Alligator mississippiensis: one gene and its partner. The protein of the gene in region 1 purifies or fractionates together with the protein of each later gene. This does not show direct contact. Links are inferred from orthologs where the notes say so. Each region holds a gene or a part of one and is shown on either strand. Other genes may lie near its edges. The genes, in order: cytochrome c oxidase assembly factor 3 homolog, mitochondrial; cytochrome c oxidase subunit 4 isoform 1, mitochondrial.

Region 1 (11,785 bases):
TACAAAATCTAGCTGCTGTTTTTTCTTTAAGAAAAAGAAAACCCTTTTTTTTGTCCCAAATGACACTGCTATGCTCTCTCCATAAGAGAGGTAGGGGATAGTCTGCAGAGGCTGTTATACAACTACTATAGCTCATCAGAAAGGAGTTAAAGTTCCTTGTTTGGTATGATAAAGGATGGATCCTTTCCAGTAACATGCTGGCTTTGAGAACGCTGTTGAAAAAAAACCAAATAAATCCATGTTTACCGTTAAGTAGTGTAGTACTGAAAACATCATTCCATCCTTGCATTGGTTCCAGTGGGTGTAGTGCCAAGACTGTGCTTTAGTATTGCATATAAAAATTCAAAAACGCTTTGTGAGGTAATGCCAGTGATACAGTTCAAATGCTCCACAACCTTTAAAAAAAATAAACCCCTACTTCAAATACTTTTTCATTTTGAAGTTTAAACTGTGAATACTTTTAAAGGGAAAGAAACAAATGATAATTGTCATGCCACCACGATACAGCTAAGTAACCCTTTGCAGTGGACCAAATGAAGAACCTTTCAGTGGGAGAAAAGAGAATTGAGTTTTCACACTTAGTTCATTCTACTGGAGATTATTAGAACAGGCCTTTGTTAGTCTTAAAAACAGATACCTTGATTCTAAGCTGACAAGTATCCTGTAGCTAGTTTGGCAGAAATCTGGTGTGCTAGAGAGGTTACTTCCATATGAAGATGCTGCTATTGACAATCATAGATTTGTTACAGGTGTAAGAAAGTTGTAAGCTTTATTTTGGAAAGAAATTGGGGTGGGGGAAGGGGCAGTTTCTTTTGCAAACTGGAGATAATTGAAGCTTCTGCCTTCCTGATAATTTCTACCTGGTCCTATCCCTGATTTTTTTTCTTGTTAATCTTAAATTGAAATGTTTCTCCCCTCAAAATAATTTCTCTTTGCACTGTCTAAATGGTAGAATTTTTTCATTCTCCTAAGGCTTCTAACTGCAGTGACTCTACCTGATTCCAGTGTTCAGGGTTTAGTATGAAAGCACTTGTTCCAATAATTCCAGCTGCCAAGAGCATAAAATCTTCTTTTACTGACAAAAACTTTGCTCTGTACAAAAACAAAAACCAAACCAGTGATGTGTGGTTTAAAATGAGGCGGGTTCTGTATTTCAACTACAGTCATGTTTAATATTTGATTTTGTATATGTGGGACTCAGTAAACACAAGTAACGTTCTAATAACATCTAGGTACAGCCCTCCCCTTTAAGGTCACCTCATGCTGGTATTAATAGCTTCAACTTAAAAGTTCAGTTTATGTACCAGTTTTCTTAAAGAAAAGACAAGAAGCATGAGTTAAGGAACATTCTCCCAGTCTCCTTCCATAGCAATGTTGCTAAAATATGTGGAAATGTTGAGTGAAACTAGTTCTATCCAGAACCAACTACTATTAATACACCACACTTTGTGCTAACTAGTATTGACATTGTCATAGTAATTTATCTTCTAAACTCTCCTTTTGCAAATACTAATTAATTTATGTCTGGGAAATTAGATAAATACTCATTCTTCTAGAGATGTATCAATAGGGAGGAAGGTACTCTGATTTATCCAGCATGACAAACAGTCAGTGCAGAATTGGAACAGACTACCTCCAAATGCTATTTTCTATGAAAAGGAAGTCTTGTACAGAGACTGTTCTCAGCATTTCAAATTTACTTAAATCAAGAAACTTGTCTCATATTCTTAGCGCATAAAAAATGCCCTATTAACTGGTATTGCAAGTAACCAACTCATTTTGGTTTACAAAGTACTTCTGTTACTGTGCTGTCAAACTGCAGCAAATGTAAGTTAGAGATGCAAGTTTGTGTCCTTCACCAGCCTTTTTTCTCTAAATACACAAAACACTGGTATTAGTTCAAACATGTCCTTAAGACATGTATACTTACATCTGGAGTTCATTTGGCGTCGAATTTTCAATAGAAGTCTTTAGCAATGTATTGTAGATAACATCGCGCATGAGGTAAGTTAAATCCAGCAGATGCACACACATTTCATGCAATTGTTTTAAAGACAGTAAGCAGCCATTATGTCCTAAGGTAAAGATTTTAGAGGGTCAGCTGTATCTATTTTGTGGCCCATACCAAATTAGGAAAAATATTAGAAGCATTAGAATTGGTGCCTAAGCTTTTCAGCAGTGACTGCCATATCCTGAAAGCCTTAACTTGATGCTCCATAAGAGAATGTGATTTTACTCAGGTCCTCTAAGGCATTCATTGAACAACACAACTCACTTTGGAAAAAGTATGACCTCATATAGCAGGGGGGGGCAGGGAGTAAATCTATTAAGTTTTTATTAGTGTTTTGCCAAATGAGTCTAGGAGCCAACTATATCTTGCGAAGCAGAAATGCTGGATTCCTTGATTTGTACAACAGGGTAAAGCTTATTTTATCATGTGTGGCAGATGACTCAAGCAGATTTCTTATTTTGAAAGGTAGAACAAAACCTCAGATTTACCCTAGGAAATGGTACTAAATAGGGAGAATGCATCAAATCTTTAGGTTTTTTTCCCCATTAGTAATGATGGCTTGCCCACAAGGACAATCTTTTTTTTTTTTCCACTGTCACTTCATATATGGATTTTACCTCTACAAAAGATTAATCTGACACTCCTTCAGATTCACTGTTTCCGTATTTTCTACTTTTTAGCCTTTTGGTTTCTACACAATTGTTTCCTGCTGTTCATGCCCTTACCCAAGACTTCCAGGAGCAACTCAACATAGGCCAAAGGAGTTGGCAAATTGATCTGGAAGTGTAGACCCTTCAAAATGGCAAGTTCTGACTCCAGCAATTCTTGTTTAGTGAATGAATAGTCTAAAGACTGCAGAAATTTCAGAACTGTGTTATTGTTAACTATCTGGAAGAAAAAAAGTCAAGCTTATTTTGTGTTATTTTTAAAACGTAACCCCCCCTTCCAGCAGTGAGATGTGTTTTCTCAAAACCCATGCTTTAATTATTAACATGACTTGCTGATAATATTTCCTGTTTCAGTTATGCCTGCCACTAGCTTTTATGTCTAATGTGTCCTCTAAGCTAGAAGAGGAAACCAAGTTGGATAAGTTTTGCCATATTACTGCTCCCCTGCCAGGCAGTACCAGATACTGAGATTCATAGAGGTTGGTGTCCTACTGGATGCGAAATCAGCGATTCTGATTCTAGGTATCTTCTTAGTAGATCTTATTTTATTTGCATTATATACACCTGTTGTAGAATAAATGTGCCTCTATGAAATCTCAGCTCACTTCTCAAAAAGCAGCCAAAGAACTAACACTAGCCAAATTAAAGCAGAGAAACTTGTTACAGGATCTCTAAAAGTCACGAAGTTAACAGCGATTCAATATCACTCCAAAGAGTGAATGGGGCTTGTACGCTAAGAAAAAGAACTTAGGTAAACTGTGAGTCACAGCAGTACCTTATGTCACCCACCACAATACTGGATTTTGTGCTGTTATTAGCAACTAGATGACACAAGTGACGGGACTCTGAGCAGTAACACTGTGGGTTGTTGATTCTTTTCCCCAGTTTGTTGCGAAGGTACAGGGGTATTTTCTGAGTAAAAATTCCTTTTCTTAAAATGGATGGAGATCTAGATCTCCTACACCCAAGCTGTTCTTAATTCATAGGTCACTGCTGTCTTTGAAAACCGTAATAAGTTCCGTGACCTGGAGATAAGAGAAACTCAAATCTAAATGACAAATGCTATCCTATACTGCTGAAAGCTGCAACGAGGAAGTGTTTGGTCTGCTTACACTGTAGTGGAAGGAAAGTTTGCTTGCAAGCTGGATGCAAGACACAAGGCGCAGCATAAACATGTTGTGCATCTGTGCTTTCAAAAAATTCCAGCCGTGGCTCCGTCCTTGTTCACCGCTTTCCCCTGACTCTTCAGTGGAATTATACATCTCTTGTACCTGCTTAATCATAAACCTGCAAGAAAAGCCCAGCTCTCAGGAAGCAACTACCTCTTGCTAATGGAAAGAAAAACTGTTTGTGTGTGGATTAAGAACACTCTACAACTAGAAATCACAGGTACAGAGACGGTTAAAAGGCAGAGAGAAAAATATTCTACAGCCTGCAGCTGAGCATTGCAAAATGAGGAGTATACCCTATTTACTGGAACCCAAGGCAGATTTCCTTCCCCTCCATGCCCCCTTCAGTATGGGGGAGGGCTCCAGGCTGGGGCTCTTGCTGCCTGACAAGGAGTGGGGAATGGATTGGGTGGTAGGGGGAAAGACACCAGTGGCCTCCCCCTGCTCCTACACACCCTCCCCTGCCACAGAAACCACCCTGGCTCAGCCCAGATGAGGGCAGGGGAGTGCCTGTGATTTCAGCTGCGGGGGACCCACACCAGGGCCAGAGCTGCTGTATAGGGGAAGCAGAGAGCAAGTAGGGCTTTCCCTAACCACAGTGGGGGTCGGCGGGCAGGGGGAGAAAGCTTAAGACAATCTTCCAACGCTCGGGCAACAACGCCGGGAGGTGCCGAGGACCGCCGTGTTCTTCACGCGCAGAATCAAGCTCCGGAGGGCTTCAACGGGGGCGGGGCGAGGCGGGCCCGCCCCCCGCGCGCGGCGGTACCTGTCGAATATCTCCGCCGCCTGGTAGCGGGCTGGGGGGTCCAGGCGCCATTTCTCCGCTAGGAGGAAGATCAGTTCTGCGGAGAGAAGGGCACTAGGAGACCCCGCGGGAGAGGAGCGGCGCCCTCCGCGCTCAGGGGAGGGGAGGGGCCGCTCCGCAGGAGCGCGGCCAAAGCAGTGCCCCGGCCGGGGCGGGGCGCGCGGAGCCGTTGCTGACCCGTGGAGCGCGGCCCACGGAAGCACCCCGCCGCCGCCGGCAGCTCGCGCAGGCGACGCTCGTTGTCGGCCGCTAGGCGCAGCAGCGTCGCCTCCAGCAGCTCCGGAGCGGCCACGCCGAAAGCCGGGCCCGGCAGCCGCCCGAAGGCGCACGGAGGTCGGGCGGGGCCGGCCTGGGCCATCCCCACAGCTCGCAGGGCTGCCACAGTCCACCCCCAGTCTCGGCGCTTCTCCTGGTCACGTGATGTGAGTCCCCCAATCGCGGGGCGCCTTCCTCCCTCTCTCCCGCCTCGAGACGTTCTGCTGCATGTGGAGATTGGCCAGGCCTGGGAGCGAGGTTTGAGAGTCTGGTCAGTCCCTTTCTGCCCTTATCAAAGGTGGTGGGGACGACGCCCGGCACGGGTGACGTCACGCCGGTCCCGTGCGGATGTGACGTTTCCGGCCGCCCGCCCGCGCGCCCCACTTCCGCGGCGGAAGAAGCGGGTGCGCAGCATGGAGACGCCGCCGGGTCCGCGCGAGGAGGTGGTGTCGAAGCGGATCGACCCCGCGCGGGACCCGGACCTCAGCGTCGAGCAGCGCCGCATCATCCAAAGCCTGGAGTACGCGCAGCAGCAGCGCGCCATGCAGCGCCGGCTCCGCGGCCGCAACGCGCTGCTGGCGCTCGGCATCGGCTCCATCACGCTTGGCATCTGTATCCTTCAGGGGCGGGGGTGCGGGGCCGGGGGGCCCGGGGCGGTGCTGGCGTTTTCCTGAGCGGGCGTGCAGACGCCTACACCTTCTACTCGGTGTCCCAGGAGCGGTTCCTCGACGACCTGGAGGAGGAGGCGGTGGCGGCCCGCGCCCGGGCGGCCAAGAGCGCGACCAGCTGACCCGGCTCGTGACGGCCCGTGCGCCGCCCCCCCCCCCGCGGCGCACTGACCCGGAGCGAGCGGCCCGTCCCCCCAGGCCACTTGGGCAGCAGGCAGGGATTTCCCTTATGGCCATTCACCTGCGGTGGTACCTGGGGGGTATTTGTGGGGACAGTTTCAGCAACCTACTTCCCTAAGAGGTTTATGTTGTTAGAGGGAAAATTCACAGGTCAGTCATTCATTTTTATCATCTCACTGAATCCAACATGCGCACCAAAGGCTGGCTGGACGTGTGGATACTAGTTAGTGGCACAGAGCTGTCCTTGTCCTACTCCTTCTCTCTCCTCCAGCCCATGCACAAACCAGGCAACAGAAGCTGACATTTGTCTTTCATCCATCTTTGGCAGGAAAGGGGGAGAACAGGAATGTATTTTTCCAGAAGGAAGGACAGTTTGCTTTCGGATGCCCCTGTGGCCACTCTTGCTCTGCTGCTGGAGTTGTGCGGTCTTTGAGCAATAAAAGACTGCTGCCCCTTTGTTCGCTCTACTTTATTCACAACCACTGTACAGGGAGGTTTTTACATCATCAGTCTGTTCTGTTTTCTACCAGGGCAGAGGCAGAACTTCACATGGCAGCAGCATCTCTCACAGCTCAGCTAGAACAGGTGGGGAGCTGCATGGTAGCCTAGGGCTAGCCACCCCTGGCTCTGGAACAGCAGACATTGTCTTCAGCATAGGGCAGAGCCTCAGGCAGCCCATGGTGCAAGGCAGAAGGTTTGCCTGATACTAGAACACACAGAGGCATAAGTGCACTTGGGCTTTTTCTGCTGGCTTACAGCTCTGGGTCAAGGGCACCCCAGGAGACAAAAGCATCCATCCACACACAACCTGTGGACTCTTGGGGCTGGGAGCAAAGCAGAGGCAAGAGCTGCCATGAAGGGGAGGGATGTTGGCACACACATTTCCATAGCCCCAGCCCTGTCTTCTGCAAACATGGCCTGGGGCAGAATGTGCCTGAGGAGTCCCTCAGAGACTGAGTCACACTTGCTGCAACTGAAGTGAGAAGGGTGGGGTGAGGGAGGAAATGAAATGCAGTGGGAAAGGCTGGAGGGAGCTGACCTCTTTGCAGCGATCACCACAAGGAGGTGCTCTGAAACAAGGTATGAGGCCCTCCAGAGACTGCTGCTACATATGTGGAGTTGGGCCACTGCCCTGTTGCATACTTTTCCCTTTCTGGTGTGCCCTCCCCCACTCCCTTCAGAGCCAGGCTTCCCCTAGTTCCCTGTAGCTCCTGCAGTCTGAACAAGGGGAGGGACTGTGCAGAGAAGGGGCAGGACTGGGGGGCTGTAAGGTGGTTGATCACATGCCTAGAGCTTTGGCTCAGGCTTCTGAGGCTGAACAAGGATGGATTGACCTCGCAGGTATGTGGCTCAGCCAGGACTTGGTGCAGCAGCACCAAGAGGCCAGGCACTATACAGACCCACAGCAGGGCTGGGGCTGAGGCAGAGCCCAAACCCCCAGCCACCCCTTATCTGTCTCAAGGACCCATGGTCCAGGCTGCCAAGGGCCTGTACAGCAGCCCCATGTGCTCACTTCTCATTCATGCGGATGCAGCCCTCGATGATCTCCTTCAGCTCTGGCACTTTCACTTTATAGAAGCTGTTGGGTTTCAGGCCCTGTGGAAGAGCAGTCACCCTAAGTCCAGCAGGTCCCTTCCTGCAAGGGCCACCCACAGCTCAAAGGATTGCTTAGTGGTACAGGGCTCTCCCAGACTGGTGTATGGGCAAGGGACATGTTCCCTCCAGGACTCTGGGGCCTCAACCTACAGGGCTACAAGCTGAGCATGGAAACAGCTCCACTGGGAGGGTCTTAGAGGAAACACCTTCCTTACCCAATCACTCGCCTTTGGACATGCCCTTGCCCTTCACAACCTGGAGAGACAGAGCCTTTCACCCCCCCAGCAACGACTGAGCTCAGCAGAACTGCTCAACGCCAGGACAGCTTCCACCCACCAGCAGTGAGGGCCTCTTTCACCTCCCTGCACCCCACATGTTTGCACACATGGGGGTAATTTAAATTCCTGAGCCTTGTGGCTTCCATCTCCCAGGTCAGCAATCATGGAACAAACCAGCCCTGCACTGGATCCAGCCAGCTCAGTGACTGAGGAGCTGAGGGCACAGAGCCAGACGGGAGCGGCTGGATCTGGCTCCCTAGCTCTGTTCCACAAGCACGCCTGCAGCTGCTGCCCATGCACAATGCCCACTAGACATGCTGAGGAACAGCTGGTGGGCAGTGGATGGCAGCCAGGAGCAGAGCAGGGGCTGCAGTGACAGCATTGCAATGGGAAGGGAAAGCAGCCTTACCCAGGAACAGCAGAGGCCTCCAGGTAGTGCAGACCACCTGCAAGGCCAGGACAGGGCAGCCTGGAGAAAGCAGAGGCTAGATGCACCCCCAAGAGCAATCCTCTCCACTAGCCCCACCTCTCAGGCACAGGCAACCAAAGCAAGCCAAGGGGACAGATGTAACAGTCTCAGCCCAAGTACCTGAAAATGCACAACTGTTCCTGGCACAGCCCCTGGGGCAGGAGGGACCTCTTGGAAGCAAGGCCATCCAGCACAGGGCAGTGCACACCAGCGTCAGGGGCTCGGGGCAGCAGAGACTGTGCTAAGGATAGGGCCACTCTGAGTATAGGGGTGCCCAGCTGCCCCAGGGGGCTCACTACAGAGGAAGGGCACATCAGCTGGCAAAGGCTGCATGTGTAACAGAGCCAGAGCCCAAGCTGCTGCAGATCCCTTGTGCTGCCTGGCAGGCCCCTGCTGCCTGCCTCTGTGTAGGGGAGCAGCTTTCCAAGGACAGGGCTGTACAGAGAAAGGCAGGTGCCAGGGCTGGCCAGACTCCACACTGCTGCCAGCTGAGGCACACATCCTCCCAACCTTGACAGTTATTTTTAGCATTTTACATAACTTGTGAAGTGATGGACTCAAGGAGCTGGTGAAGCCTGACAGTCCTGGGCAAGAGACTGGCCCTAAGCAAGCCTGCCCCATCAATAAGCTCCCCCCACAGCCCTGCTCATCCCTGCACTCTCACTGCTGCCCAAACAAGCCTGGAAATTCCCCAGTACACCCAGTCCACTGAGCTTCAGGTAGCTGCAAGGGACAAGAGAAACAGCTGTGAGCAGTGGGCACTCCAGATGGGCTGCACATGCAGGGAGGTGGCCTGGGGCTGGGCTTGGAGACACCCTGATGGTATTGCCAGGCCCACCTCCCACATGCCTGTATGGCCCAAACGCGTCACTGCCCTCTTGACTGGGAGTCACCCAAGTGACCAGAACCTGTGAGGAGCCCATTTCGGTACCCAGTTGCCCCAGCCTGCATGAAGAACGTTCTCCTGCCACAGGCTGCAAAAAGCAGGAGCCAAGCTCCAAAAGCGCCAGGAGCAGGCCAAGACACCAGTGTGGGGAGCCCAGCCACAGCAAGTGGCCAGAGATGCAGCATGAGGAAGTGACATTGTACAGGCAACACCACCAGCTGCTGGTCAAGCGGAAAGTGCCACACCCTGGGGCTGCAGACCTGGGCACATGGGGCCAAACCCAGTTACTGAGCACCCAGCAGCAGCGTTTTGTTGCACTGTCCACCAGCTCCAGGGCCTCTTCCCACGCTCAACTGCAGCCATGCCAGCCCAAGGGGATGGCAGACTCTGCCCAGCACACAGTGGGCCTGGACAGATTCTGGCAGAGATGGCTGGAAACATGTCCTGCTTTGTGCTGGGCCTCGCTCCATGCGCCTGCAGCATGGCCCAGGTTGCTGGGAAGACACACACACACACACACACACACACACACTCCCTGCTTGCCCACTGCCCCATGCTGTACATTTCCTCACCCTGACATACACTATATGTCCCCACCTATCCATCACCATAAAACCTAAGACTCCCTCTCCCCACATCCCTTTCCCCCCCTATTACCTTTCCCCCAACCTTAAAATACTCACGTTTTCAGGGTGCCAGATGTCATGAGCTCAGTGACCAGCACAATGCAGACCTGACCCTTGACACATGACTTCCAGGAGTTATAGAATCGGACAACGCTGGGATGCGGAGAGCAGGGCACTTGGACTCTCCGCGGGAGGGGAGCGGGGAGCGGCGCCCCCCGCGCTCAGAGCAGGGCAGGGGCCGCCCCCCACACGCCGCCCCGCCCCTGACAAGCGCGGCCGGAGCAGCCCCCCCAGACAGTCGCCCCCCACCCTAGCTCCCGCCTCGAAACGTTCTGCCGCACGTGAAGCCCCGTGATTGGCCAGGCCTGGGAGGCGGGTTCGAGGGCCAGGGGGCGGTCACTCTCGGCCTTTATCAAAGATGGCAGCGGCAGCGCCCCGCGCGGATGTGACGTTGCTGACCCGTTCATCGCACTCACGAGGCGGAGGGAGCGGGCGCGGAGCATGGCCGTGCCGAAGCAGTCGCGCAAGGAGTTGGTGGCGGCGAAGGCGCAGATCGACCCCGCGTGGGACCCGGAGCTCAGCGCCGGGCAGCGCCACCTTGCGGAGCACCTGGAGGAAGCGCAGCGCGTCCTGAAGCGCCGGTCCGGGGGCCGCAAGGCGGTGGTGGTGACCGTCCTCGGCGCCCTCGCGCTCGGCTTCTGTATCCTGCCGGGACCGGGGCCGGGACCGGGGCCGGGGTGGGGGCGGGCCAGGGGCGGTGTCGGTGTTTTCCTGAGCGGACGCACAGACGGCTACGTTTTCCACTCGGTGTCCCAGGAGTGGTTCTTCGGCGACAGGGAGGAGGCGGCGGCGGGGGCGGACCGGGAGGCCAAGAGCGCGACCAGCTGACCCGGCCCGCAGCGCACTGAGCCGGAGTCTCCCAGGACTGCATTGTGGGGGGCAGTGGTGGCAGGGGCCTGGCAGTGCCTCGCCAGCCCTCTTCACCCCTGCCAGTGGCACCGCTGTGCACCCTCGCCTCTGTGCGCCAGGACTGAGAGGGTCACTGGGTAGGTTGGACTGGGGCACCAGCCCTTTTCCCTGGCGCACTTCCTGGTCTCTTGCTGAGCCACATCTGCCCGGTGGTCCCCACACACAGCCCGGGGTGGGCATGGTGGTGGGGCTCCATGCTGCTGCGCAGGGGGACTGGGGGCAGCCCACCTTTGTAGGGAAAGGGGCTTAGTTGGGGCTTCACCTAGCCCAGGATGGGGTGGGGATGACCAGCCCAATCCTGATCCACTTGTATAGGGGAAGGGGCTTGGCCAGCAGAAGTGACCCTGTTGCACTGTGGGGAAAAGCCAGTGTGAGCACCCCTTCCCTGCAGAGAGAGGTTGCTAAGGAGCTCTTGTCCACATTGGCCTCTGCCCAGGGGAAATGCTGGCAAGAGGAGACCTAAGCCAGGTGCTGGCACATACCACTGCCTTCTGTATCTGTAATAAATGCTTCTGTGAAAGGATTGCAGGTCCTTGTAGTTCATTAAAGCAGCTGTTGGCAGGCGTCCAGCTGGGGGGGGGGAGCAGCATCTGTGGGGACATTTTCAGCAACCTACTTCCCTAAGAGGTTTATGTTGTTAGAGAGGGAAAATTCCCATTTCAATCATTCGTTTTTATCATCTCACTGAATCCAACATGCACACCAAGGGCTGGCTGGACATGTGGATACTAGTTAGTGGCACAGAGCTGTCCTTGTCCTACTCCTTTTCTCTCCTCCATCCCATGCACAAACCAGGCAACACAAGCTGACATTTGTCTTTCATCCATCTTTGGCAGGAAAGGGGGAGAACAGGAATGTATTTTTCCAGAAGGAAGGACAGTTTGCTTTCGGATGCCCCTGTGGCCACTCTTGCTCTGCTGCTGGAGTTGTGCGGTCTCAGAGCAATAAAAGACAGCTGCCCCTTTGTTTGCTCTACTTTATTCACAACCACTGTACAGGGAGGTTTTTACATCATTAGTCTGTTCTGTTTTCTACCAGGGCAGAGGCAGAACTTCACATGGCAGCAGCATCTCTCACAGCTCAGCTAGAACAGGTGGGGAGCTGCATGGTAGCCTAGGGCTAGCCACCCCTGGCTCTGGAACAGCAGACATTGTCTTCAGCATAGGGCAGAGCCTCAGGCAGCCCATGGTGCAAGGCAGAAGGTT
Region 2 (13,218 bases), on another chromosome or scaffold:
AGCAGTGAAGGACCTAATTGTATAGCACAATGTTAAAGAGACATGGATTATCTACCTTGGGTTTCCTATAGCACCAAGTCCCCTTACTGTGAAAGCATTTCCAGCTGCACAAAGGAGGTACTTTGTCTTTACATCTCTTAAATGTGAGGCCCCCAAATGAAGCTCCTCTGTCTCTTTGTAGTATGGGAATTGGATCTAGAGAAAAGTGCAGAACTTTTTCCTAACACAAGGCAGTGCTATGTATTTCCACAGGAGCAGTGCTGCTGCCATTCCTCAGAGCAAGGGGCTCAGTGCTGGGAAGTGTTCCCCTCCCCTATAGGAGCATGAAAGCAATGAAGGTGAACTGAGTTAAAAGTGAATTGTCAACCCTGCCCTTTAAATATCACCGAATCCAAACCAGATTGGTTCTTGCAACTATGTTGAGAAGAATGAGATTGTTCCAAAGAGGAAGACACAGGGGTCATGGAAACTGATCTGCTTCTCTGCGTACTCCAGGCAGCAGCACAAATTTCTGATTGGATCTGAAGGAAAAAAACCTTCCCAGACACTTCAGCATCCCTCTGCTATGACCTTGGCACAGGAACTGCTAATGAAAGCTGGAAGTCCTGCTGCCAGACAGAAGTACATGAGCAGAGCACTGCACTACTGCAAGAACACACAAAACCCCCCCAACTCTCAGCACAAATGAATGCGAGCTCACATGCTGAAGCTTTTTAAACTGCATCTTTAATCTTGCTCTCCAAGAAATAAGACCCCCTCTATGAACTGGAAAGATGAGCACTTTGTTCCCTTTTGCCAACTCTAATGCTGATCCATACATCAAGTCATGACAACATGGTAGTGTTTAGAAAGGACTTTGTCCTTTAGCAAATTACAGCCAACAATGAAAGCACTTAAGATCAATATGAAAAAAAACTTTCAAGTAAACCAGATGTTTATTAGCAGGTATATTGAAATGGAGGATTTGTTCCAGTACAGAAGCAATGAGGTCACAGATACGTAATGGAATCATTGCAAATTCAAGCAGAACAGGTCCAGTGGTTCCGGGAGTCATTTTATTTCTTCCATTCGTTCTTCTCATAATCCCACTTGGAAGAAAGGCCTTCAATGGGATTAACTCTCATATCCAGCATTCTCTTGGTCTGCTTGGCCACCCAGTCTTCAGAAAGGGTGTGAGGGACAGGCGCAAAAACTGCAATTCAAAAAATCAGTTGGAGTTTTGAGATACAAGGGAGTTAGGCACAAAAGTTACTAGGGAATGGAATATGCTCTTCCCCATTCTCAGAGCAACTGCCCTATTGCTAATACATATTCAAATACCCGCCCAGCATAGGTCACCTGAGAACTATTCTGAAATGCTTTCACCTTGTTTCCTGCAGATTCTGAGCCTCCTGTTACAGCTATTTTACCAAAAATATCAGGGACAAAAAGCCAGCCTTCTCCTGCTAGCCTACACCGTTACCAGGTGATCATATGATGGCTAGGAGTCCTAATGACTCACTGCTGCACAAAGCTAGTTTGACTGCAGTGTGCACATGATGGGCAGAGGAGCCGCTTTCTTATCTAGCCTGGAGATTTTGAACACGAGAGGAACCAGAGAGCAGCCTGACACAGCAAGCAGGCTTAGGGAGAATCTGCTGTTCTTCATTTCTTTCCAGTTAGAACCAAATGTGCAGGAAGGGATGAAGTCAGACTGTACAGAATTGCCTGAATTTTGCAGCAGAGAAGTAGAGCAGTGGGATGGCTGCAAGACAGTTTCCTAAATTACATCTTTCTGCAGTTGTAGTCCCCCACTGATTAAGTCATTTATCTGCAACTGTAAAGCTCAAAAAGGCTCAGGATTTTGTGAATCATCACTTGACGACAAACAGTAGTAGTTATCAGTACAGCAGTGTAATGCAAGACTAGAGTTTTGGCAGTTTCCAAGTTTTCTTATTTTATTTTTTGTCTGAAGTGCACAGAAGCTTTGGGATGGGAAGGATTTAAAAGTAGTAAGGTGATTCTTCCAAGCCATTTACTTACCGTACATTTTCTCCCACACGAGGAACAAGCCGCAGAAGCCAAGGAAGGCGGCAGTGGCACCAACTACAGTCTTCCACTCCTTTGTTCCCTTGTTCATTTCAGCATAAGTCTGATTGAATTTGATATGATACACTGAAAAGAAAGTTTCAAGATGTTCTCTTTATACTCCAGGGTGCAAACACTGCAGACATTCAGATGGGTCTCCCCTTTGCAGGGATGAGAGATTTGTAAGGCCAGTTCTAAAGCACAAGGATGTTATAACAACTTTGCAATTAAGCTGCATCTTTCATGCAGAAAGACTAAGGTATTTCACAAAGGTTAATACATGCTGTTGAACTGCACTGCCCACTCTGTAGATGGAGAAACCAATGCACTAGCAAGAAAGATCTTTTGCTGGAAGTCTTGCAAAGAGTCTGACGGATTCACCCACCAGATTTGTTTGAACAGGAATGGTTTTACAGCTAAGCGAGTCAGGGTATCTGGGTCTTATCCCCGCTTTTAAGTTTCTTAAGGCTTTTAAGAAAGCTATTTCCGTTCTGGTCTGAGTCAAGCCTCATAGCTTTTTTTTAAAGTTACTGGGGGTGGCGGGGGCAGATCAAATGTTTCTTGCATTTAAGAGATGCTTCGAAGAGACAGAACATCATGGCTTGCAGGCCAACTACATGCATCTAGAGTCATTTTAATAAAGACACTAGCATTCTCTGTGCCAATCCTGTACTGAAAAGCCCTCACTTAATACCTGCACCAACAGACTTTCATCTCTCCCATCACTTTAACCAAACTTAGGGCAATGTTTAGGTTAGTTTCTTACTTTATTACAGTTCTGTGCAATTAATATGATCAGCCATTGTTCAAAGTAGCAAGGTACAAGACCTTCTTGAACTTCTGGCAGTTGGCTCACCACAGAACATAGCACCATGCAATGTCAGAAAAGCTGGGTTAGATAAGGAGTCAGAAGGTGCAAAGTGTTAAGCCAAGTTTGAAACCTAGGTTCACTTTCCAGTTTCCCCCTCCTTCAGCCAGCAACTTCATCTACAGGATGTAAGGGGCTTTGTCTGAACCATCCAACTGAAGGACTTAGACACAGATGGTGGCTGCAAAATAGGGGTGAAGTAGAAAGAGGGAAAGACAGGAGATCTAAAGATCTACCACACAAGATATTTCCAAGGAAGGCAGAGTAAACCAGCCATGCTTGCTGCTCATGAGCACAGGATATGGCCTACACACCAGTCCAGCTTAAGAGAAAGACCTCTGAAAACAGGGCTCTTAAGAAAAGCTATTGGCTGAAACAGCCAGGCACTCAGCAGCTTGAGGCTGTTTCAAAGTTGCTTTGCATGACCCTTGTCTCTGCTTCTAAGTCAGCACTTCTAACTGCTCTAAAACCTCAAAGATGTCCAGGTGTTTAGTGCTTTAGCCAACTGCTGATACTGCACTCTTTCCTATCGGCTTCAGTCGATTAACCCCCACAAGTATCTCTGCACTGCCTCAAGACTTTCAACCCACAAAAATCCATTTACAGGATTAGCCTTAGACCCTTACTGTATGCTTTGTCCTTTCCCAGGAGCATTTCCATCAACAGTGAATGCGTAAGAGATCAGACTGGCAGCAGGAGGGTCGATTGGCTTTCAAAAATGAAATACCTACGTGCAACTTTCTCATCAATGGTCAAGGCGTTCCATGATGCCTTTTCCTTTTCCTTCAGGGCCTTCTGCTCAACAGAGAGAGTCTTCGTGTATCGCGCATCAGGCAGGGGAATGTTACGACGATCCACATAAGACGGGAGGCTGGCGTCCTCCATGCCCACAACAGCTGCAATAAAGGGTGGGAAGAAAGAAAGGGAAACTCAGAATTTTTATTTGACATACTAGAGCCAAAAAAATTGAAGTTCTATCAGCAACAATATTAAGATTCCCCACAAATAAAGCGGATGTCAAGAAGTCTTAAGGGAAGTGTGCTTCTAGACAAGTTATCTTCAACAGCAACGAGGGGGAAATAACAGTAACCAAGAAGATTACATTTGCTCTATATCCAGGTTACCTTATGTGCATCAATCATACAGCAAAGAAGAGAAGGATTTTAAAACATTCTGAAATACAAAGTTTGGCAGAGGGTGTCCCAGCTTCAATTAGCACACCTCCCACTAAGTACTATTCTCCCTGACATTTCAAATAGTAGATCTTCCTTTAAGTATTTATGTTTTCCTTTACAATTTCTTCCAATCCCCTCTCTCTGGATCTTGCAATTCCAGGATCCCTGAAGTGCTAATGCTGTTCTCTGACACCACCTACTGGTGATGGCACAGATTAATAACATGCTTTCAATCACCCAGGCACTTGTGTTTCACCATTCCTCGGTTCTGCTTCTGTTGTCTTGCTTCCACCCCCTCCAGGTAGTTTTTGCTAGATATCCATCTAATATTCCTCCATCTTCAAACACAGAAAGTCACAAATGTTCAACCTACGTTAGCATGTTATTTCTTCAGCTAGCCACACACCCAAAAAAAGGCCTGATCCCTGACAGAGTGTATTGCTAGAATAACTGCACTGAATGCAGCACGTTTGGCCCTATAGAAGTTGCTATTAAAAGGAAATAAAGGTGCACGCTCAGAGTAATTATAATTTCAGTGTGCACTTAAGTCTTAAGGAAGCTTTATGTTGCTTTGCTCTTGAGAAATGTGAAAAGGGGCAGACCACAATTTTACTGAACAATGTAGTAGTCATTAAAAAAAAAAAAAAATGGATGTTCTTTCTAAGCAAAGTCTTGTTACAACATGTCAGCCAGCTTTCTACTCCTCCTTACTTCTACCAGTGATTAACCTGGATTTGATAGGCGCTTGCATTTGTCAAAATTTAAAGCTCAGGATAAGGGGACATAGAAATAACTGAAGGTTTTCTCTTTTCCTATCTCTGTGCAACAGGAAAAGCACACAGCATACCTTGTCCATGTCCTCTCATGCAGATGGATGTAGAAATGGCTCGCTTGCCAACTAAACTAAATGCCCTAGAAGCCAACATCCTATGGGAGAGGGAAAAAAAAGCAGATAGTTACCAGCCAAAGATGGCAGATTCATACATATAAATGGAGGAAATCTACACCCTATGCATTAGAACAGCATTCCCAACCTTTTTGGACTCAAGGCCTCGCTCTTGACCTGCAGCCCCGCAGCCCCTCACTCCCAAACAGCTGCCCCCCTCCCACTCCCAGACTCCAGCCGCTCAGTGTGTGGGCCAGGAGGTGGGTATGCATATGCCCCCCCAAAAAATTTCTGCACCCACAAAAAGTGTGGAGAAAGCGTAAGGAAAAACACTGCAACAAATCAATCCTTTTTCAAAAATCTTGGACTCCTTATTCAGGCTTTTCCACTGGCCCCTGCGCAGAGCCTAGTCCGAGGTGCTGTCAAGGGAAGCGGGTCGCCAGCGCTTCAGTGGATTAACCCTGAGCTCAGCCACAAGTTCTCACAAGCACCTTATATTTATAGAAAATGTAGAAAGGAGGTAGCGGCGTCTGAAAAGGTAACATCAGGCCTAAAAACACTGTGTGCGCGCTTCAAGGCCTGGCAGGGAACACCTGACCTTGCAAGGGGACTGCACCAGGGACCAGAAAGCAAGCGTCTCTTGGTGACGCCACAACAGCACCTCCGCTCCCGCCTGACCTGCCAGACACAGCCTGCTGGAAGGACCGAGGAGGCCTCAATTCTCTGCCTGAACCCATTATATCCTTGCAGGGATTTTACAGATAGAGCTGGTCACCGCACCCCTTTCATCCTGCTGGATGCAAAACCACCCCAACGAAGGGGCTCTGCTCCATACCAGCTGCCCTGCCCTGCCCTGTCCTTTAAACACAGCGCCTGGGTCCCCTCCCCCAGCTGCAGGGAACCAGGAAGCTGCAGGGGAAGGGGAAGCGGGCAGGCACTGGGGGCCCCCCCCCATCACCATGCAATGCGTTCCCTTAGCAACAGCTCCCTACCCATCACCATACAACACATCCCCATAGCAACTGCCCCTTAGCAGCAGCCCCCTACCCCACATCGCCCTGCAACACAGCCCCGTAGCAATAGCTTTTTCGCAAGGTGATGCCTGGAAACAGCCCCCTGCTGCCCCCCACGTCACCAGGCAACATGGTCCCTTGGCAACAACCCCTTAGGAACAGCCGCCTACCCTCCTCCCATTATCATGCAACCCATTTGCTTAGCAATGGCCCCTAGGAACAGCGCCTCCCCCCATGTCATCATGCAATGCATCCCCTTGGCAACAGCCCCCTCCCATCACCACGGAAACTGTTCCCTTAGCAACATGCCCTTAGCAACAGCCCCCTTCATGCAGCGTGGTCCCTTAGCAACAGCCCCCTCCCCACCATGCAACATGTTCCCTTAGCAACAGCCCCCTCCCCGTGCAACATGTTCCCTTAGCAACAGCCCCCTCCCCACCGTTACCATGCACTGTGCTCCCTTAGCAACAACGCCTTAAGAAGGAACAGCCCCCTCCCATCACCGTGCAACGTGTTCCTTCGGCAACCGCCCCTCGCAACGTGCCCTTAGCAACAGCCCCTCCTCCCCCGACACCACGTAACGCATTCCCTTTAGCAACAGCCCCGGCCCCGACCCCGCGCACCCGCCGCTGCCAACGACCTGGCCTGTCCTCCAGGCCTGCGGTCGAGAACGGAAGAGACACAGGCGCGGCGGAAACGCAAAGCACGCCGGGATGCGGGTAGGGCCGCACGCTGCAGAACGGACTGTGTTTGTCCCTCTGCGCGTCCCGTCGCCAGCCGCCGGCGGCCCTTTACGGCCGGCAGGAGGGGGCGGGGCCCTTTTTGTCCCTCGCCGCGCGCCGTCCCCCGGCGCTGCTTGACGGCCGTTTCGCGACGGCGGTGCTGAGGGAGCCGGGCCCGGTGGGGCCCGCGCGGGGTACGATGAAGCTGACGACGCAGGCCTACTGCAAGATGGTGCTGCACGGCGCCAAGTACCCGCACTGCGCCGTCAACGGGCTGCTCGTGGCCGAGAAGCTGCCGCCGCCGGCGCGCAAGGACTCGGCGCCCCCCACGCTCTTCGTGGACTGCGTCCCGCTCTTCCACGGCACCCTGGCCCTCGCGCCCATGCTCGAGGTGGCGCTCAGCCTGGTAAGGGGGGGGGATTCGGCGCTGTAAAAGGAGGGGGAGTACGACGCTGTAAAAAGGGGCTAATGCGCTGTAACGGGGGATAAGGCGCTGTAAAGGAGGGAATACGGCGCCATAACGGGGGTGCCAGACTTCTTTTAAAAAAAACAAAAAACCGCAACAACCCCCCCCCCAAAAAAAAAAAAAAAATTTTAAGTATCTTTAATCTGAATTAGCTAACTCCATGTTATGTACTGGCACGTTACTGGATCATATCGGAGTCATTGCATTTTCATCCATGTAATCAGGCAGTGATTTAACTGCTTCTGAAATAGGTACGTATCCGGCTGCAGATGAATAGTAAAAAAAAAAAAAAAATTAATGGTCTTAAAAGTTGAAATTTCTTCGTTAGTATTTTTTCGGCGTGTGCTGGGTGCGTTCGTAACGTCTTTAAATCAAGATGGCTTTGGAAGATAGGCCGTCGCGCGCAGACCGAAGCCAGACGAGGCGCGGGAGGCACTGGACGTAACGGTTACGGTGTCCGTGGCGTAGAGGAGGTCGGATGAGATCGCCGGCACGGTCCCTTCGAGCCTTCAAACCCCACCGTTAAAGTCGGTTCAAGCAGACGCATGCCAACGCTGACCGTTTTGGCAGGAGTTTCTCATCCTTTACTTTAAACGACCTGAAATTGCGACTTTCCAAACCTCGCGGTACGTCGATGCAAGCCTTCCCCGTCAAACTGGCTCGTGCCCGAACGGGCCGAGCTACGGTTTCGTGACCGATAGGCCCGGGAGTTTTCACCGTATGAAAAATGGGAATTATACCAGTCATCAAAAACGATAAATCCTCTGTGCTTTCTTTACACGTAATACCTCTGGCAGCGCTCAGGAAGCGGCTCAGCTGTCACATGTGGATGCCTAGATACGTACATACATTTTTGCCCGAGCCAGGAGGATGGGTCTGTGAGTTGGGCGTCTGTGGAGGTGTACGGGGCTGTACCCTCGGAGCAGGTTGCACGCAGAGCGAGGTGTTAGCTGCTTAATTGCAAGCGATCGAGTTTGAGCAGTGTGGTCCTAGTGAAAAATGGTGATATCTTTGTTTTTTTAAATGACTGCAAACATTGCAAAGACACTTGTGTGAGAGGCAAGACTTTTTGCAGGATGGATGACTTCTTTTATTGGATCTGCAGTGTAGTTGAGAGGGACGTAGACAAGCGTTTGGGTTTGAAAAGGTCTTCCTTAGGCTTGTTTTTTTTCTAGTGTTAACAGTAAATTATTCAGGTTGGGGGCCTTGGTTTCTTAGACCCCGATCCTGCAACGTGGAGTATGCAGATCAGCTTATGAAGCCAGTGATTAACCATAGTGGGTGCTGCGAGAGCAAGACGGGCATTGCCAAGCCTTTCTAAGCCTAAGCTCCAGAACCAGAGTAACCACGTTCAAAACTCAAACTCCAACGCTACGAGCACGCAACGTGCTAGGAGACTGCTGTACCAAGCACTTTTGCTGTGTATTTTAGTACTTGGAAAGTTGGCTGAAATGAGGATGCAGGAGAATGGGTCAGTAATTATATTATGAGGGGAAATTGCCCGTGTCGTGGAAAGTATTTTAAAGATCCATATTGATCCTTTGTACAGCTTATTGCAGGATTGGGTCCTACTCCATGGATCTGGTTTCTTACACAGCTGAAAAATAGAAGTATGAAATTGTCAGAGAGCTAATAAAACTTTATGGTCCTCACATTGCTGACTCCTCAAAGCTTTTTATTTGTTCCGAAGTAATTGATTTTTAAAAGGAAAAAAAGGTGGGGGGGGGAATCCTGATTTGATTTGATTTTTTTTTTTTCTCCCTTCACAGTTAATCAGTTTCTGCAAGTCCTAATTATAAAGCTCATCTATATGGGTTGCAAATTATAATCCTTGGCAATGTTGAGACATCAAGAAGAGCACAAAGCTTTTTTTGTTTGTGCAAAGGCTAAGGATGGCTGTAAATATTTATATAGCCGCTCATAGAGCTCAACTGCATTGTTTTGGCTTTTAAAATAGAGGCTGTCTTGTCAGTTTACATACAGTGTAGTAATATGAGTGCAAAATGCCCCAAGTTAGAAAGCCAGCTTAAACGAGCAAGTCGGTGCAATGCATGCAGTTAAGCTATTATCCTAAGCCAGAAACACTTAGATAGTTAAAGGGTCTTGAAGCATTGGCCAGCTTTAGAGGATTGAGTTTTTCTAGGGACTGTTACCTTAAACTTTTGCTCGTGTCGGTTGTTCTGAAAGTGAATTGGGCCGTTTGTGAGTGATGGTTTTCAGCTCAAACTGTTTTGATTTATATATGAGCGTTAGATGAAATTAGTAATCTCCAGACATCATTCTATACTTGTTAGTCAAGGGGGAGGTGGGGGATCTTTTCAGTGCAGGACTTGGCCATATGGTCATTTTTGAACGCTAAAAATTAGTGTTTGAAAGAGCCCTCCCCCAAAATCCTGTTTTTCAGATGGCAGTTGAAGCAACCTCTTCAATCATCTTCAAATCAGCATGGGAGAAGGAATGCATTACGCTGGCCAGTGGCCCTTTCAGAAACTGCAGCTGTAAAAAAGCATGTTATGGCTTTTTTCTTCCAACAAAGATAAAAATTCCTTGAAAACCAATGAGGGGGTATTGACAGTTATCACTTCTCAGTTCAGATCTTTACCATTCTATTTATATCTTTTTTTTTAAAAAGGCCATAAAGAGTATTGGAAGAGTCCTGCAAAGTACTCGAGCATCTTCAGCATCCACTGAGTGCTTGTGGCCTGTCAAGACTGGGTTCAAAGAGATGTTAGTTTTTGGATGGTGCTTTGGCTACAGTGTGCTCATGAGGGAAGCCAGCAATCATTTCTGTCATTAAGTACAGTAGTTCTGAAAATGATTGAGGGAAATAGGTATGCATTGTGTTTATCAGAGTGAAATCTTATCATTTGAGAAAAGTTGAGTCACGATAAGTTTGGAGGCTGTACCTGGCTTTGAGTCCCCTGGTTAACCGGAGTGGTTTTACAACCACATTTTCCTTTTTTTAAAGAGGTTTTTTATTTGTTTTCTTTAAAACAAAGCAAAGGAAAAACCTCACTCCCTGCTGATGTCTAGATGCTGTCTGTTCAAAAGAACAGTTGTGAAACTGCCTGTCTGCTCATCTCAACTCACAAGTCTTATGAAATCTTCCTTGAATGGCATTATTATGGATGGGGCTTTAGCAGTGCCTGGCCCTTAGCTCCTCTAATTTATCCTCCCTGCTGATTTTCTCTCTGGCCTCTGCTGGCTATTTACTTTTTTCCCCTTTGTAAGCACTTGACATTTCTGCTCGACAAGCACTACATAAGTGCTAGGTCTTATCTTGTCTTATGTTGACCCGCTCCAATCGGGATTAGACAGTAATGCGATAAAATATCAGGGTCTTGTTGATGCTAAGGGCTAGCATTGGTACTGTTATAGCAACCTGATGTTTCTTAAAAGCAGCCATTGTGAACACAGCCAGACTACTGTTAAATACTAAAGGTTAGTTCCTTTTCCCTGAAAACAAGTCTACTATTAAAAGGAATCAGTTTCAAGAGCAGCCAACCTTATTTTAAAACTTTTTTGACAGGCTCTTTGATAAAATGTGTCTGGGCTATTGGCTTTTGTGCCAAGGTTTCAGCCCACTAGCAATTAAAGCTGCAGTCATAAACCTTTGAAGGGGGGTTTAAAATTGAAACAGTGGTTGGACCTTGATTGTGTAGCAATGCTAAAGGATGATATTTTATTAAAATGCCAATCTGTGTCAGATTGCAGATGAGGGATTATTCATGTGGCTTCCTTCTGCTTAGAGAGTTTAATACTGTCATTATTTTGCTAAATGTGTGAGAGATTGATTAAAATGGATTCCAAAATATACTTGATACCAAATTTTGGCATCCTGTAAATCAAATCAATTTTGAGTTTTTAAATTGCATAGCCATATCGGTGGGGGACAAACTAGCTGGTCTCTCTCTTTCTCAAATCCCCAGGTTATCCTGACCTGATGCTCTTTAATTGTGAGCAAGAAAAATGGTCACTGTATAGTTTCAAAGCAACAATGAAATTATGGACCAGATGCAGAGTCAATATAACCTATTGTCTTTCACTGATTCTTTCCTGTTTTACAAGTCATTTTAATGTGTTCCTTTATGTTTAAAAACACAATATCAGCTGTTGTAGACTTCTTGATGTTTGTACAGGGTGAAGTCTTTTTCCCTTTTGGCCTTAACATCATCTACCCTGACCTCCTGCACAACAGGGACCAGAGAATCTAACCCAGTAATCCTGTCATCAAGCCTATACCTTGTGGTAGAGCAAGAATATATTTTCAGAAAAACATTCCATCTTGATTTAAAGACTTCAAGTGATAGAAAATCCACCCACGCGCCTTTAAAGTTGTTCCAATGGTAGATTATCTTCACTGATCAACTCTTAAGGGAAAAAGAATCCCGTTCTAATACAAGCAGAGCACCCCTAGTCACAAGGGTGGGTTGAAAGAATGACGCAAGGGATAGAATTTTTCTTTGCCATATCTTTCATTTTCATATGAGGGATCAGTTGCTTTTAAAAAAAATAAACAGCGTATACATGGTAACACTATCTGATTTGGGGTTTTTTCCCCAGCAAGTTGAGTAGAATCTGTAAAAGTGGCTTTTGAAATGGTGCCATTGCCCCTCATCCACATCCTGTACATTGCCCAACCTTCCATCACCAACTACTTGCTTAAAAAAAAAAGCCAGAAATAGTAATAGGAAAGACTTAAAAATATGTGTCAGTTGATATACTCAAGCTCTTCCTATCAAATCCTGTTGCTAAAGCACAGCTGAATGCTTATAATTCAAATGTCTACTTTCTCTTGTTTGGCTCATATTTTCCATCTCTTTCCCTCTAACTTACTTTTTGTTCCTTGACGTGGTTAAGAATATTAGTACTGGGTTAAATTCAGCAGCCGCTAGCTGACACATTACAACACTTCAGTTGCCAGTTTATTCTCAGGAAAGATATATAATTTACGTGTTTTGTCATGTTTTCCTGAGCTCAATTGTTTTAATTACTTTTTCAGATTGATTCTTGGTGCAAAGAGAATAGTTACGTGATAGCTGGATATTACCAAGCTAACGAACGTGTGAAAGATGCCAGGTGTGTTGGTACAATATCTCCTTCTGTTTACTCTTTTGTGCTGCACTTTGTACTCTGCCAACAAAAATCATTGCACATAAAAAAATCTGTGAATGTTGATTAACTTTGACAACTGTCATGTGGTTGCACCTTATTTCCTGCATACTGCTGGATATCTGTGAAAGGTCTTTTGTGCAGTTTGAGGAAACCCCTATCTTTCCAGAATTACTCCTCTCTGATGGTTATTATTGAATTGCCAGGTATTTGAAAGCTTGCCAACCAATTTAATTGGCAGATATTGGGGAAATAACTGGAATTCACAAGCGTATTCACTTGCCTACCTAATATCTTGTGAACTCCTAATTCATGAATCTCTGAATCCTTTGGGAACTATATCTGAAGTGATTTAATCCTTAATTGCTTCTGAGTTTCATTGAAGCTCTTAGTTACTTAGTTATGGAGCTGCCTTGTAATAGAATAGCACATACATAGAGCGGTAACCAGACTCCTTACTCATCACATGCCTGATGAATGGTCCTTATTGGCAAGGGGGAAAACTTTCAGAAGCCCATAAATCATTCAGGAGTATAAGTTCCCTTGGAGGTCAGCATGATTTAGGTGGTTTTGAAAATTAGAGTTGGGCTCCTCTACATCAAGTCTGCAGTCAGCCTGAAATTTTTACCCTAGGTGTACTCACTCAGACAGTTTTGTCACATGTCAGTCCTACTTGAAGAACAAATTGTGCCCTAAATATTTTACAACTAAAGATCATGCTTAGGGTTTTTCCAGTCCAGGGAAGTTTGTATCCATATCACTGTACTAATGTACAGTCACATTGGTGGAAAACCCCTACTGCAGGCAAAAGCTTGTGCCAAAAGGAGTTTGAATCATATATTTAACAGGGAAAATCCTATCTTATACCAGGGCATTGCATCTAATACCTGGCTTTATGCTGATATAGCT

What was found.
Region 2: the proteins of cytochrome c oxidase assembly factor 3 homolog, mitochondrial (region 1) and cytochrome c oxidase subunit 4 isoform 1, mitochondrial purify together in Homo sapiens (affinity purification with western blotting; 3 studies listed by BioGRID and IntAct, with this or other methods). This does not show direct contact. The link is inferred for Alligator mississippiensis from reciprocal best matches to the Homo sapiens genes COA3 and COX4I1.

Annotation. Positions count from the first base shown.
Region 1 is NC_081827.1:152,236,303-152,248,087, reverse strand, and holds cytochrome c oxidase assembly factor 3 homolog, mitochondrial, read left to right. Parts: upstream 1-4,992; 5' UTR 4,993-5,073; coding exon 5,074-5,075; intron 5,076-5,206; coding exon 5,207-5,520; intron 5,521-5,594; coding exon 5,595-5,698; 3' UTR 5,699-6,213; downstream 6,214-11,785. Other genes in the region: CNTD1 (cyclin N-terminal domain-containing protein 1), read right to left, coding at 273-395, 996-1,092, 1,931-2,075, 2,737-2,899, 3,792-3,962; cytochrome c oxidase assembly factor 3 homolog, mitochondrial, read left to right, coding at 10,113-10,311, 10,399-10,499. UniProt on the Homo sapiens protein: Core component of the MITRAC (mitochondrial translation regulation assembly intermediate of cytochrome c oxidase complex) complex, that regulates cytochrome c oxidase assembly.
Region 2 is NC_081833.1:73,659,695-73,672,912, forward strand, and holds cytochrome c oxidase subunit 4 isoform 1, mitochondrial, read right to left. Parts: upstream 6,755-13,218; 5' UTR 6,650-6,754; exon of another isoform or gene 6,633-6,649; intron 5,038-6,632; 5' UTR 5,037-5,037; coding exon 4,958-5,036; intron 3,832-4,957; coding exon 3,667-3,831; intron 2,155-3,666; coding exon 2,023-2,154; intron 1,193-2,022; coding exon 1,056-1,192; 3' UTR 705-1,055; downstream 1-704. Other genes in the region: EMC8 (ER membrane protein complex subunit 8), read left to right, coding at 6,931-7,137, 12,200-12,276. UniProt on the Homo sapiens protein: Component of the cytochrome c oxidase, the last enzyme in the mitochondrial electron transport chain which drives oxidative phosphorylation.